Medicago truncatula: one gene and its partner. The protein of the gene in region 1 binds, or shares a complex with, the protein of each later gene. Links are inferred from orthologs where the notes say so. Each region holds a gene or a part of one and is shown in the gene's direction. Other genes may lie near its edges.

Region 1 (5,520 bases):
TTAAACGAAGACCACACCACAACCTCTTCACAATTCCAAAGAGTTATTAAACCTCCTGAAGCCCCACTCGAAGGTTGATAAGAAAAATCAACACGGTTATCAGTCCATAGGCCTTTACACACAAAATCATTTACAACAGATAATTTAGATTCTTGTAAACATAAGATAAACGGATTTTTCTCCCTCACCAAGTTACTCACTTCCCTTCTCTTTTCAAACCCACCCAAGCCCCTAACATTCCAAGGAATAATCTTCATTAACACTACCCACTCCACAACACCACAAACACCCTTACCTCCTCATCCCAACCCTCGGCCTTACCTCTCTCCACCATCAACCTCTTTATTTTTTCTTCCAACACCTGACAACACATCAAACCTATTTTGAATATCCCCTTGAAAATTCACCCCCACTAACTTTCCCATCCCCCTAACATCATCCGATAAAGCCTTGCTATTACCATGAAGTACTAACCAACTCGACCAGTCGTAATTAACAGATGACTGTGAATCATTAACAGAAGAGCTAACCGGCGAATTTACCTTATTAACATGAGTATCTGACACCACCTTATGTCTCCTTTTCTTCTTGCGCAAGGCACGCAAAACAACCTTACGGTCTTCCTCTGATAACCTCGCAATACGCTTCAAATTCATTGCACAGTGCCGAAAAGAACTATTACCCTTCTTTCTCGTGACTTTAATAGCACTAGAAGTCTGTTTGTTAAAGTCTAAAATTTCAACAGGTGCTGCATCTCCAATCACCAACTCCTTATGTTGACGTGCCCATTCCCAACTCCACGGACCTGCCGATACAGTATGGACCCGACTAGGAGGACATGACATGAAGACGTACGATGCTTCTTCCTCTTAGCACCACTACAAGAAATTCGATCCAAATCAGCTCGTGCGATATCATCCTCCAAAACAACCTTGTTGTTAGCTTGTTGTAAAGGAACTGTTTGAGCTGCGCAAGGATTTTGAGAGGAAACCTCCGTAACACCCTTCGACACCTCTTTAGTACCCACCACCGGACTCTCAACAAGTGAAGGAAAATCGTTAATAGGAATAACCTTATGAACCTGAAGGTCCTGCTGCTCCTTCTGCCATTCCTCTGATAGATGCTTCATCAAATTATCAACCTCACCATCAACATGTAAATCCCCAATATTTCTCTCATCCTCCATATCCTCCTCTTCTTTAACCTCCTCATCCTCCGATAAGCAAGCATCTTCACCCAACGAAAACCCTCCCTCCTCCACAATTTTAAGTTCATAAATAGCTCCATCTATCATCACCTTTGCATCTGAAATAACTAAATCCACAGAAGGCGTAGAAATAAGAACCCGAGCATAATCAAACCGGATTTTTTCCAGAGTGGAATCATCCAATTTCAACAAACGACCATAGTCAAAGACACAAAGTTTGAAAAAATCCAAGTTCCACGCTTGTAACGGCACCCCATAGATCCTCACCCAAGCTCCTCTTTCGCGAACCACCATATCTTTCCTCCAGTTCATAATATTAGAAAAAAAATTTGCAAAAAATTCCGATGCTTCAGCCAACAATAAGTTAACATCACTATCATCTTCAGTTCTCAATAAGACCTTATCAGCTCCCAAAGGAATTATGTCTAAATTCTCAAAGCCCGCATCAAAAATACGTCGCTGCAACACAGGGATCGCATCTCCATTCAAAACCGTAGCAACCATCCCCTACTAGCCCATAAAACATCCTGATCCTTGGAGGTATATTTAGGAATGTGGATCTTCGCAGCCTCTCCCACAACCACCTTCGCACCAACCGGTTCTCTCACATTCACCCTCTTCTCCACCCTTGCCTCAGCTTCTTCTCTACTAACCACCCCTCCTCTCGCAGCTACATCTCCCTCAAGCCCCTTACTCCTCCCTTCACCTTGAGCCTCTCCGTCAACAACCTTCCTTCCCCCCAGCTCTCTTTTTTCTCCCTCTAATTCTTTATCTCCCTCATTAATTTTTTCTCCCTCTCCCCTAACACTGCCTTCACCCCTACCACCTCCATTCCTACCAAAACTCGCCACCTTAGCCACCACCTTCCAATCTCCAAACCAGACATTGTTCAAAGCCTTCAAGAGCTTCTCTACATCCTTCACTTTGCCATAACGAACAAAACCAAACGCACCACCATTAACATTACGTTTACGTGCCAAGTAAACATCCTCCAATATACCACATACCTCAAAACCTTGTCTCAATGAAACATATGATATATCAAGAGGAATATTTGTAAAATAGAAAGAAACAACATTCTGGTTCACCTGCACTTTCTTCGCCTGTTCCTGAATACTCACAGCTAAACGTTGTTTCTCATCACGTGCCTGCACATTAACTGAACCAGGATCGTTCCTCACAGCCTTGTTGTTGTTTCTCATAACATGGATTTTATTCTTGACTCAATGAAGGTGATGAATTATTTACAGAAAGGAAGCAATGTTATTACTGAGTTTGATAAAATCATGTATGAATGTAGACATCATTGTAATTTTGCTTTTAAAAACTCTCTTGTCGAGTTTAGTCGGAGAAAAACCAATCAAATCGCTCATGCCTTGGCACTGTGTATTTGTGAATTAAAATCTAATGAAATACTACAAACATTTCCTTAAAAAAAAAAAACTTGTTGGAAATACGTTCAATTAATTAGTCATTTTCTTTGAGGATTAAAAATCTGTTAATGTAATTATTAATGTTTTTGGTGTTAACATCTCGTTTTAAGGAAAAACGAGTCATTCAAATATAGTTCGACCAGAGGTAAGTAAAATATGATCGAAAATTATTACAACTAAAAATCAAACTCAAATTCTGCTAAATAATTACAATCACAATTAACTAGACTAAGTCAAGCATAATTGCAATTTTGGTGAAATACACATAACAAAAATGCAATAAGTCTACAAATGATTCTTAAACTCTAATAATTTATAATAAAATTCACAATTACCAACAAGTTTAGAGACCTTTGCACAAATTATTTTAAAATATACAAGCTCAATTACACATTATTTAGAAAAGAGTCATGCTAACTCTTCGTGTCTTAAGGATACAAGTTAAAAAGCTAAAAAGAGAATTAAAATATAACTTTTGTATTGAAAAGATAAAATTTAAGATTTTTATACATTGAATGCACAATTTTCAAGAAAATATTTCTATGTTTAGTTTCTAAACTTATGTCTCAAGAGCATAAGTTAACATTTCCTTTTAAAAAATTAAGTACTCAACTAAAACCTTGTTCATAAATCTAACTATAAATTATTTACTAATTTATTAACCTAATTATAATTTTATTTAGTTTAGAAACCAATTTCAAAATTATTGAATAGTTTTTTTTTTTTTGGTGGCCGGGTTTTGAATCCTAGATCTTGCATATATTATGCATTGTTCATACCAACCGAGCTAAGATCACGAAAATAAATTATTGAATAGTTAATAGACTTCTAAAGTATTTAAAAAATAAATCCATACCAACTAAGCTTAGGTCACGAAGACAAGTTATTGAATACTACCTCCGTCCCTAATTATAGGACCCTTTTAAAAAAATAACGGGAATTAAGAGAGTGAATATTTTTATTAAATATGTTTGTAATTACTATTATTTTTACAATTTTATCTTTTAAGAGAGTGTTGATTTATGTTTTCAACATGTTATTTATTGTTGATTGAAAAAAAATGTATAATAAATAAGGGCATGTATGTAAAGAAATAATTAATGTAGTTGGAAATAGAAAATGAGTCTTATAAAAAGGGACAATTTTTTTTTCTTTCAAAACGGTCTTATAATTAGGGACGGAGGTAGTAATTAATATTATTGAGTAGTTAATACAAGTATTTAAAAAATAAGTAAAGTTGAAAAAATAAAATAAATTTGAAACCCATTGCAAAGTACCATATTGCCCCCATTGTGATTGATGAAAAACCAAAGAAACAAAGGGATAAGATAAGCCAATATGAATCAAACCAACCCTTTTATCCCATTTTCAGTTTTCTTCATCTTCCATTTCCATCATCACCATGGAAGCTACTGCAACTCTACTCAGCTTCTCTCTTCCATCCACCAAAACCCAATCTTTTCAAATCCTAACCCGACCCATTAACCCATTCAACCCACCCACATCATACAAACATAGACCCATTTCCAAAACCCACCGTTTATCCATCAACGCCGCAATTTCACGCACAAAGAAAGAAGAAACAGTTGAAACCGTAAAAGAACAACTTGAAAACTGTTACCTCCTCGCCGGAATCAACTACAAAGGCTTCACCGTAAAACAATTTCAAGAACTTCGAAAAACTCTTCCTGAAACAACGAAACTCGTTGTTGCGAAGAACACGTTGGTTTATAAAGCACTTGAAGGAACACAATGGGAGACGTTGAAGCCATGTATGACAGGTATGAATGTGTGGTTGTTTGTTCATACTGAAGAGATTCCCTCTGCTATTAAGCCTTATAGAGATTTTCAGAAAGAGAAGAAGCTTGAAGAAAATGATTTTACTGGTGCTGTTTTTGAAGGGAAATTTTATGGTCCTGATGAGTTTAAGAAACTTGAAACATTGCCGACACGTGGCGAGATTTATGCTAATTTGTTGGGTTCATTGAAAAGTCCTTCTTCTGCTTTGGTTACTACCATTCAAGCTCCTGCTAGAGAACTTATTATGGTTCTTAAGGCACATATTAAGAAGCTTGAAGAACAGGAACAGGGTAGTGCTGTTCTATAGATAAGTTTTTTCAATCTTGTTTGTGTATTTGTTTTATGATTTTATAATTATGTTACAATGTGGATTTTGTTTTATTGTATTTGAGCATGTTTATTTATGTTTATGTTCCCTCAGATTATGTGTACAATACAAGTGTACATTTGATGCTTTGAGCTTGTTGTATCAGAAAATGTAGAATGATGCAATTATTTTTTCTCTTAGGATACTGATGATGGATAATTTGTTCCAATTGAATGATGCAATTTCACTAATTATTGGTTATTGTATTTGAGTATGTTTGTTTATGTTCCTTCAGATTATGTGTACAACTGTGCATTTGATGCTTTGAGCTTGTTGTATCAGAAATTGTCGAATGGTTCAATATTTTTTTCTGTTAGTGTAGAGATGATTGATGGATAATTTTGTTCCCATTGAATGATGCAATTTCACTAATTATTGGTTATTATGTGCATGTACCATTTTGATGTTGTGTTTTTTCCCTTTGTTTATTTGAGTGTTATATTTTGGAGACTTCGTTCAACTTGAAGTGTTTGTCATTTATACCGAGTCTCAGAATTTGGGTTGGGATTAACTTAAGCCTTACAAAACCAACTTTTCGGTCATATTTTATCCAACGTAGAACTCTTAACATGTATTACCTTATGTAACAATACCACACATTCACTCAATTGGATTAATATTTAGTGCGGTAAGTTGGATTGGAAAATCAACTGAAACTGTGAGTTTCATGGCTTAATCTTCATTCAATTGAACTTCTTGACTTACTGCAATGA
Region 2 (7,042 bases), on another chromosome or scaffold:
TGTCATTTTGAATAATTTATGTGAATAATTACGATGTGTGATGTTTTGTGTTATATGTTGGTGAATATTAGTAGCTTATTATAGTAATATTAGTGAAGGAATAAAATTAAATAGAATAATGAGGCAGTAAGGGCAAAATTGGAATAAGAGGGAATGTGTTAGGTTAAGAAAAAGGAGAGGTTAGGAAAAGAAGAGTCAGACACGTAAAACAGTTTTTGGAGGAAACGTGAAAGTGAGAAGTCAGAGAAGAGAAGAGCATTGTGAGAGGGCAAGGGAAAGCTTAAAGAATTCAAAGTTCATCCAATCTAAGGTAAGGGTGGGACTAACCTTCTTTAATATGAGTTCTATAATTCTGAAAAAGGGGCTAACTTTGATGTTGTTGATAATTGTGATGTTAAAGAAATTAGGGTTTTGAATTACAATTTGATTCTTGAAAGTGTAAGTAATCCAATGAATTAATTTGAAAGTTGTTGTTTAGGTTGTAGAGTAACCCTAGGTAATGTTTCCTATCAAATTTGGATCGAATGGGGTCAAAAATTGAGATTTTGAATAAAAGTGATTTTAAGTGTTTTTGGGAAATAAATGATTCTGGGATAAGCTGTTTTGGAGATTTGAAAATATGATTTTTCAGTAAAATATGATAGGATTTATTGAATAGAACGCGTAGGCGAAAACGGAATTGGAATCGGGTTAACGGTTGAGTTTTTACGTGTGAAATGGTAAAACCGGGAAAAAACCAGGATTGTACAGAGCTGCAGCGCATGTCACTAGCTACTGCCTGACCAGGCCTGGGTGCAGCTCGCCAGCGCCTGGGCGCAGCAAGACAGCCCTCATGGGTGACTGCTTTATTGTGCCTTCGTTTGCGTGCTGTCAGGACTTCGTATTTTGAGTTTTTGTGCTTTTTCACCCTTTTTCTGATTTGAATTGGCTTTGGTGTAAACATGAAGGTTTTAGATAATTATGTTATCTTTCCAATGGCGTTAGTTTGACTTGAAAATGTTTTGTGGATTTTGAGTTATGATGAAAACACTTCAAGTAGGTCTTGGGGAAATTTTAAAGAAATTTAGCATAACTATTTCCAAGTCATTCCAATACTTATGGTTTGGTTTCTAAACTTCAAACTTGAGTATTAAGGGGTTCAATTAAGGTATGCATGCTTGAGTTTCGTAATTATAAGTGTTTGAATGAAATTATTGTTTATTTGCGAAGAATAATGTTGATTAATTGTGAAATTGTGATGCGAAGTTGATGTTGTTGTTGTTGCATTTTAATTGTGTCATTGCATAATCATTTCATTTTAATTACGATGGCCTGGATTGGCACCACGATGGCCTGTATTGGTGATTTATTAAGCGAAAGGGGGTTGTAGCCTATCAAAGCCGAATCACGGCATTAGCGAAGGGAGTTGTAGCTCTGTTGGTACCACATGCATAATTGCATTGCATTGCATTTTATGAGTCATGTCGTTGCACTGTTGAGCGAAGTTAATTGATGATTTGTAGTTGGACTTATGTGAAGCATTGTTAATGATGAATTGCTGATGTTTTGTGTTGTTAAATTATTTTAAATGAATTATTGCTAATTATTATCGAGTGTGAAATCTCACCCCTTCTGTTTGAATGTTACCTCTATATGGGTAACGTGCAGATATTCAGGAGTAACAGCTGATGTGAGTTGAATTCTTGTGTCGTCATAGGAGTCATGCTCTGATACGTAACGGGATGGGAATTCTTATGTGTTTTATTTACCATTGTTACGTATCTTCTTATAATTTGATGTTTTACCACTTTTAGGTGAATTTTATATATGTTGTTGATGTTGAGGCCTCAGTGCCAAGTAATGCTTAAAGATTAAATATTTCCGCTGCGACATTATTTTGAATTATTGAAAGCAGTTGTTTAAATAAATAGTGAATTTAACTCTATTTGTGTTAAATGATATTTTGAAGAACGAAATGTGACATTCTGTTTGCGATGAACTCTGATTTATTTTATATTATTTATATGTTGGAAAAACGGGGTGTTACAACGTGTCCAACCAAAAAGAAGGTATTAACCCCATCACCGACTACCCTCCTCAGGTTATCATTGAACCAAATTCCGACTCCCATCTTAATCCCTTCACAAATCTTTCGTAGATCCCTCCACCACACAGAACTATCCCTCCCCCCTCCAAAAGTTACCCCCAAAAATTCACCATAACGGGTTGCTAGGACTTCGTACCACAACCCTCCGCTATCTACATGCATCCTCCAACACCATTTATCTAACAATGTTAAATTGAATTCCTTCATCCTCCTAATCCCCAAGCCACCATTTTTTTTTTACCTAAACAAACAGACTCCCAACTGACCCATGGAATCTTTCTAGAATCTGCCCCCTCCGAAGAGAAAAAAACATTTTAAAATAGAATGTATAGAGGTCATTATACATGTGAGAGCCTTGAAGAACGAAGAAAAATAGATCGGAAGAGAAGGCATGATAGGTTTCATTAGAATGATACGTCCTCGAAAAGACAAGTTTTTATTCGTCCACCCTAACAATCTAGTTTTAATTTGGTCAACCAACGGGTTAAATACAAGCTCATCAATAAATGAGTAAGGATCCTCTCCATTTATGAAAATAAACGATGGATGTCATTTTTAAGAAATAGAATGTTAAATTTAGTGATAATCACAATAATTTCTTTACTCAAAATACTAGACCAAGTGTATTCTTACAGCCCATATTCAATTAATTTTTGCAAAATTAAAATAAAAATCAATTATTTTTTATCAAATAATCTAGTTATTATAAATTCACATTTAATGTTGTCATGAGCTTAGCTCAATTGATATAGACAATGCATAATATATATAAGGTTTGGGTTCGCCACCACAAAAAAAATGTAAATGAGTGTGAAATCTGGAATTCCAACTCAATCGTGTGCATTTTATCAACAAAAAAACAAACTCAATGGTGTGTGTGTATAACTAGTGTGTTAACCTGTGCAATGCACGAGTGATAAACTATTATTTTTCAATCTCAATTTTTTTATTTTTTTATTGATGAAAAGCATCTATGCACCGTGAATTTTGAAATATGTCAATATTGTTTTGTTAAAAATAATATGTTAATATTTTTTTAGCCACAATGATGACAAATATGTGTCACATGTTTTTATGTTTATCAGTGGTAAATATATATCCCGTGTTTTTGTGTATAAATGAAAAATATATTTATGGGTTTTAGTTTGTCGTCGATGAAGCGCCGCAGCGGCTGTCCTTTTAGAGTCTTGGTGTGTGTTGATTCTATTGTGGTCACTGGTTTCGTTCAACATCGTCGACGTCTTGTAGAGCTATGGTGTTGACGCGATTATGAGTTAGTCTCAGTCTGTTTTTGGCTATTTTTTTTTCATTTTTGTTTATTGGCGTTTGTTTTCGTTTTGTTTCGTGGAAATGAAGATGGGTGGTGACTTTGTTTCGGCTCTGTGATTTTGTCTAAAAATCTCGAATCTGGTTTTTTGGATTGAAGATATGGGTTCTTTAGTTCTGGCTTCTTTGATGGATGCATATCTCGATTCAACATGACTGGTTTTATCTTAAGGTTCCTCGAAAGGGCTAGGTGCGTAGATGCTCTGTGTTGACGGTAGTATCGTTCATCATACCTAAAATATTTTATCCATCGTGGTTGCTTCTTGCATCGTTGGTGGACAGTGGTTGATTCTTATGTGTTGATTATACTTTGTTACTTTAGTATGTTATAAATGGTGTCATTAAAAAAAATTGTCTTAAATTGTGTAATTGAACTATGACTTTTATAATTCAACCTTACATTGCCACATGTAAATTTTCTTTTAAATTTGATCTTGAGATGTCATATGTATCGTTCATTTTAAACATTCTCAAATGTATCTATAGAAGATGTGATGTGTTATCAATGTGCTGCAGAAAAAAAATAATAATGTTTTTTTTTGAATGGCAGAAAAAAAAATTAATATACAAAAATATTAAAAAAAATCAATTAAATTCCAAATTTCCCCTTATCCACCTTCATTTTCATTTCATTCATCCCTTCTTGAGTCTTATCTCTCACTTCTTCAGACAACCCAGCAGTTTCCACCATGGCTGTATGCATGGGTTTCAACATAGCAACAGCATTCAAATCACTTTCTCTCTCTTCTCCCTCTTCTTCATCTTCATCTTCCTTTTTATCAGGTTCCACCACTCTTCGTATGACTCCATCAGTATCTCTCCCTCGAATTCATCATCGGTCAGCACTGATTATCCGGAATGCTCATAAGAAGGGAGCAGGAAGTACCAAGAATGGCCGTGACTCGGCCGGAAAGCGTCTCGGTGTTAAGGTTTATGGTGACCAGGTCGCTAAACCTGGTTCCATCATTGTTCGTCAGCGTGGAACCAAGGTGTGTTCATAATCAGTTTCTCTATTCCATTTTCAAATTTTAGACAAAAAAAAAATGACGTGTCATATGAATTTATGAAATTATGAACATGTTAATTGTCGTTAAGAATTATATTTTGGGTGAATTGAAAAAAATGAAATTGGTGTAGTTTGTGTTCAATTAGAGCTTATAGAAAGAATTAAAGAAAGGATTATAGATTGGTGTAATTGGCATGTTTAAAACCAGACACTGCCATCCAGAAGTCCTAGCTCATCTGACAAATGCCGAAATTGTTAGGCTGATACCATGACCGGGGTTCGAACCCCGGTACCTCCACTTGTGTGTGTGAGTTTATAATGGCTTTGCCATTTCGTCTATCTACCAAAAAAAAAAAAAAAAAACCAGACACTGCCTTGCTCTGCTTTGATATCCAAATTATCAATTACGAAATGTCACATTTTTGTTTTAATTAATCATTTGAGTCTGATATATGAGACTATGAAGCACAGACACCTCTGTCATTAAGGTCTCTGTGTCCGACACACGACATGTGTCCCCCAAAAAAATTATTTGCTTCAACACACTTTTACACTCCTTCGACACTCCTCGTAAACTTCTATGAGGCTTAAAATTGTGTTGAAGTAGTGATGATAAATGAAGGGGTTGAAGATATCATTTTTTTTTTAACTTTTCTGTATAGTAGATGAATGGATGGATGAGGTGAAAATTTGTTATATTTTGTTTAATAACTTTGTACCAAATGGCTCAATTTAGACGTACATATATATTTTAGTTCTCGATTTAGATCTTTAATAAATAATGCTCATATCTTATTTAATAATTATAAATAAATAAATATGTATGTATCAGTGTTTGTCCTATATTTTTAAAATTAGCATTGTCAATGTGTCCGTGAGGTGTCAGTGTCAGAGTTCGTTCTTCATAGCTTACTCGTAAGTACGCTTTGACACCACTCGTTTTTTAAGTCCTACGCTGACATTTGGACGGACATCCAAAGAGAGTGAGTTGGCAATTATACTATTTTGCCGATTTATATCATTAATTTCAAGATGCAATTATAAGAGTGAGAGTTGCAAAAATAGTGAGTTTTTATTGTTCTCTCTAGTTATGGGTTTTTTTTTGTTGTGGTTAGTCACTGAAAAACCCTTTTTCTTTGTTATGGGTTTTTTAAGTCAAGTTAAATGACAGAATTCATCTTCTATAAGAACTTGTTATTTTAAAAATTCTTAGATATTGTCTCTTTTTAATAAGTGTTTCCTTAGATGTTTAGGTCAATCAGAACAGGTAAAACATGTCTACTTTTGCAATTTATATGCTAGAGCCTAGAATTCCATATGAAGGGAACTAAGAATGATTAAGGTCTTTTGAATAATTGAGTTGCATTGTGTAATTGACAATATCACCATTGATACGATTGTTTTTTATCAGTATGGTAAAGTTGTAAGCGATTCCACAACTTTTATTGCACACTTTATACTGACTGAAAGAACTTCTCATGTTTGTTCTATACTGATTGTAATAAATGCTATTATGGAAATAATGTGGTCAATTTTTTAAATCGCAATCACGGTTAGTGGTGATCCTGGATATTATGGAAAAAAACATGAAAAAACACGGTCAATGTAGCTACTTTTTGCTGTTGCGATGCGGTTGCTGAGAGTTGAAAAACCTTCACATTGAGTTTGTATTTGTGGTTATAGGCACACAGAATATAGTAAATCATGATAAGGTTGTTACAGGCACACACAATATAGTAAATAGGTGCATTTGTTGTAGCAGTTTTTAAGATATTGTTGAATCTTTATTGCCTTGCTGTTTTTCTGACAATAACAACCAAAGTATTTTTTTTTTCCGATAGACTTGGCTAAATGCATCTAATGATGTTGTAATGTGAATGTCCTATCATGAAACTTACTGTTTCTCTAAGTTCTAATATTTTTTTCTTTGCAAAACTTGAAGTTTCACGCAGGAAAGAATGTAGGGATTGGTAAGGACCATACCATTTTCTCCCTAATTGATGGAGTTGTAAAATTTGAGAAATATGGACCAGACAAGAAAAAGGTAAAAAATAGTCTTTCACTGCTTTCTGTATATGACCTGTAATCCTACAGTACAAATTAACTAGCTAATAAAGTTGTAAAAATATTACAGATCAGTGTTTACCCACAAGAAGAACGGGTTCCGAACCCCGATAGCTATAGATTAAGGAAGATAAAGTACTTCAAGATGAGGCGTGAACGCAAAAAGGCTGCTAAAGAAAGAAGAGCTTTTCAACCACAGCTAATGCTCGCTTCCGTTGATGATACCGCAATAGAGAATCCAGATTGTTGATTCTATACTTCATTCACTTCACTGTGTAAAATCTAGCTGTCTTCAGTTGTTTTTCTTTTGTGTATCTGGGAAACCTTTAGCATTGTAATATTGTATTTGTTTTCTGGCAGCAAAATTGTACCGTACACGGCCAAAACTGTTCCCTAGTGTCCCCAAACCAATTACAAGACAGTATAGCCATTCACTATCAATTTGTTTGGGTGTGTAATTTTCTTTTTGAGTAAATGAAATGGTCTTTTGCTTTGTTTACATGATGTAACTCACATTTCACCTTTACAAGCTACCTAAGTTGATGTTTAGTTTCCCCCAA

What was found. Proteins that work in one complex are often made in the same cells at the same time.
Region 2: 50S ribosomal protein L10, chloroplastic (region 1) and 50S ribosomal protein L27, chloroplastic share a complex: the UniProt entries of both Arabidopsis thaliana proteins name them as parts of the 50S ribosomal subunit. The link is inferred for Medicago truncatula from reciprocal best matches to the Arabidopsis thaliana genes EMB3136 and RPL27.

What each region holds. Positions count from the first base shown.
Region 1 is NC_053045.1:63,051,351-63,056,870, forward strand, and holds 50S ribosomal protein L10, chloroplastic, read left to right. Parts: upstream 1-3,973; 5' UTR 3,974-4,042; coding exon 4,043-4,747; 3' UTR 4,748-5,018; downstream 5,019-5,520. UniProt on the Arabidopsis thaliana protein: This protein binds directly to 23S ribosomal RNA.
Region 2 is NC_053044.1:6,288,308-6,295,349, reverse strand, and holds the start of 50S ribosomal protein L27, chloroplastic, read left to right. Parts: upstream 1-4,021; 5' UTR 4,022-4,101; coding exon 4,102-4,401; intron 4,402-6,360; coding exon 6,361-6,462; intron 6,463-6,552; coding exon 6,553-6,732; 3' UTR 6,733-7,042.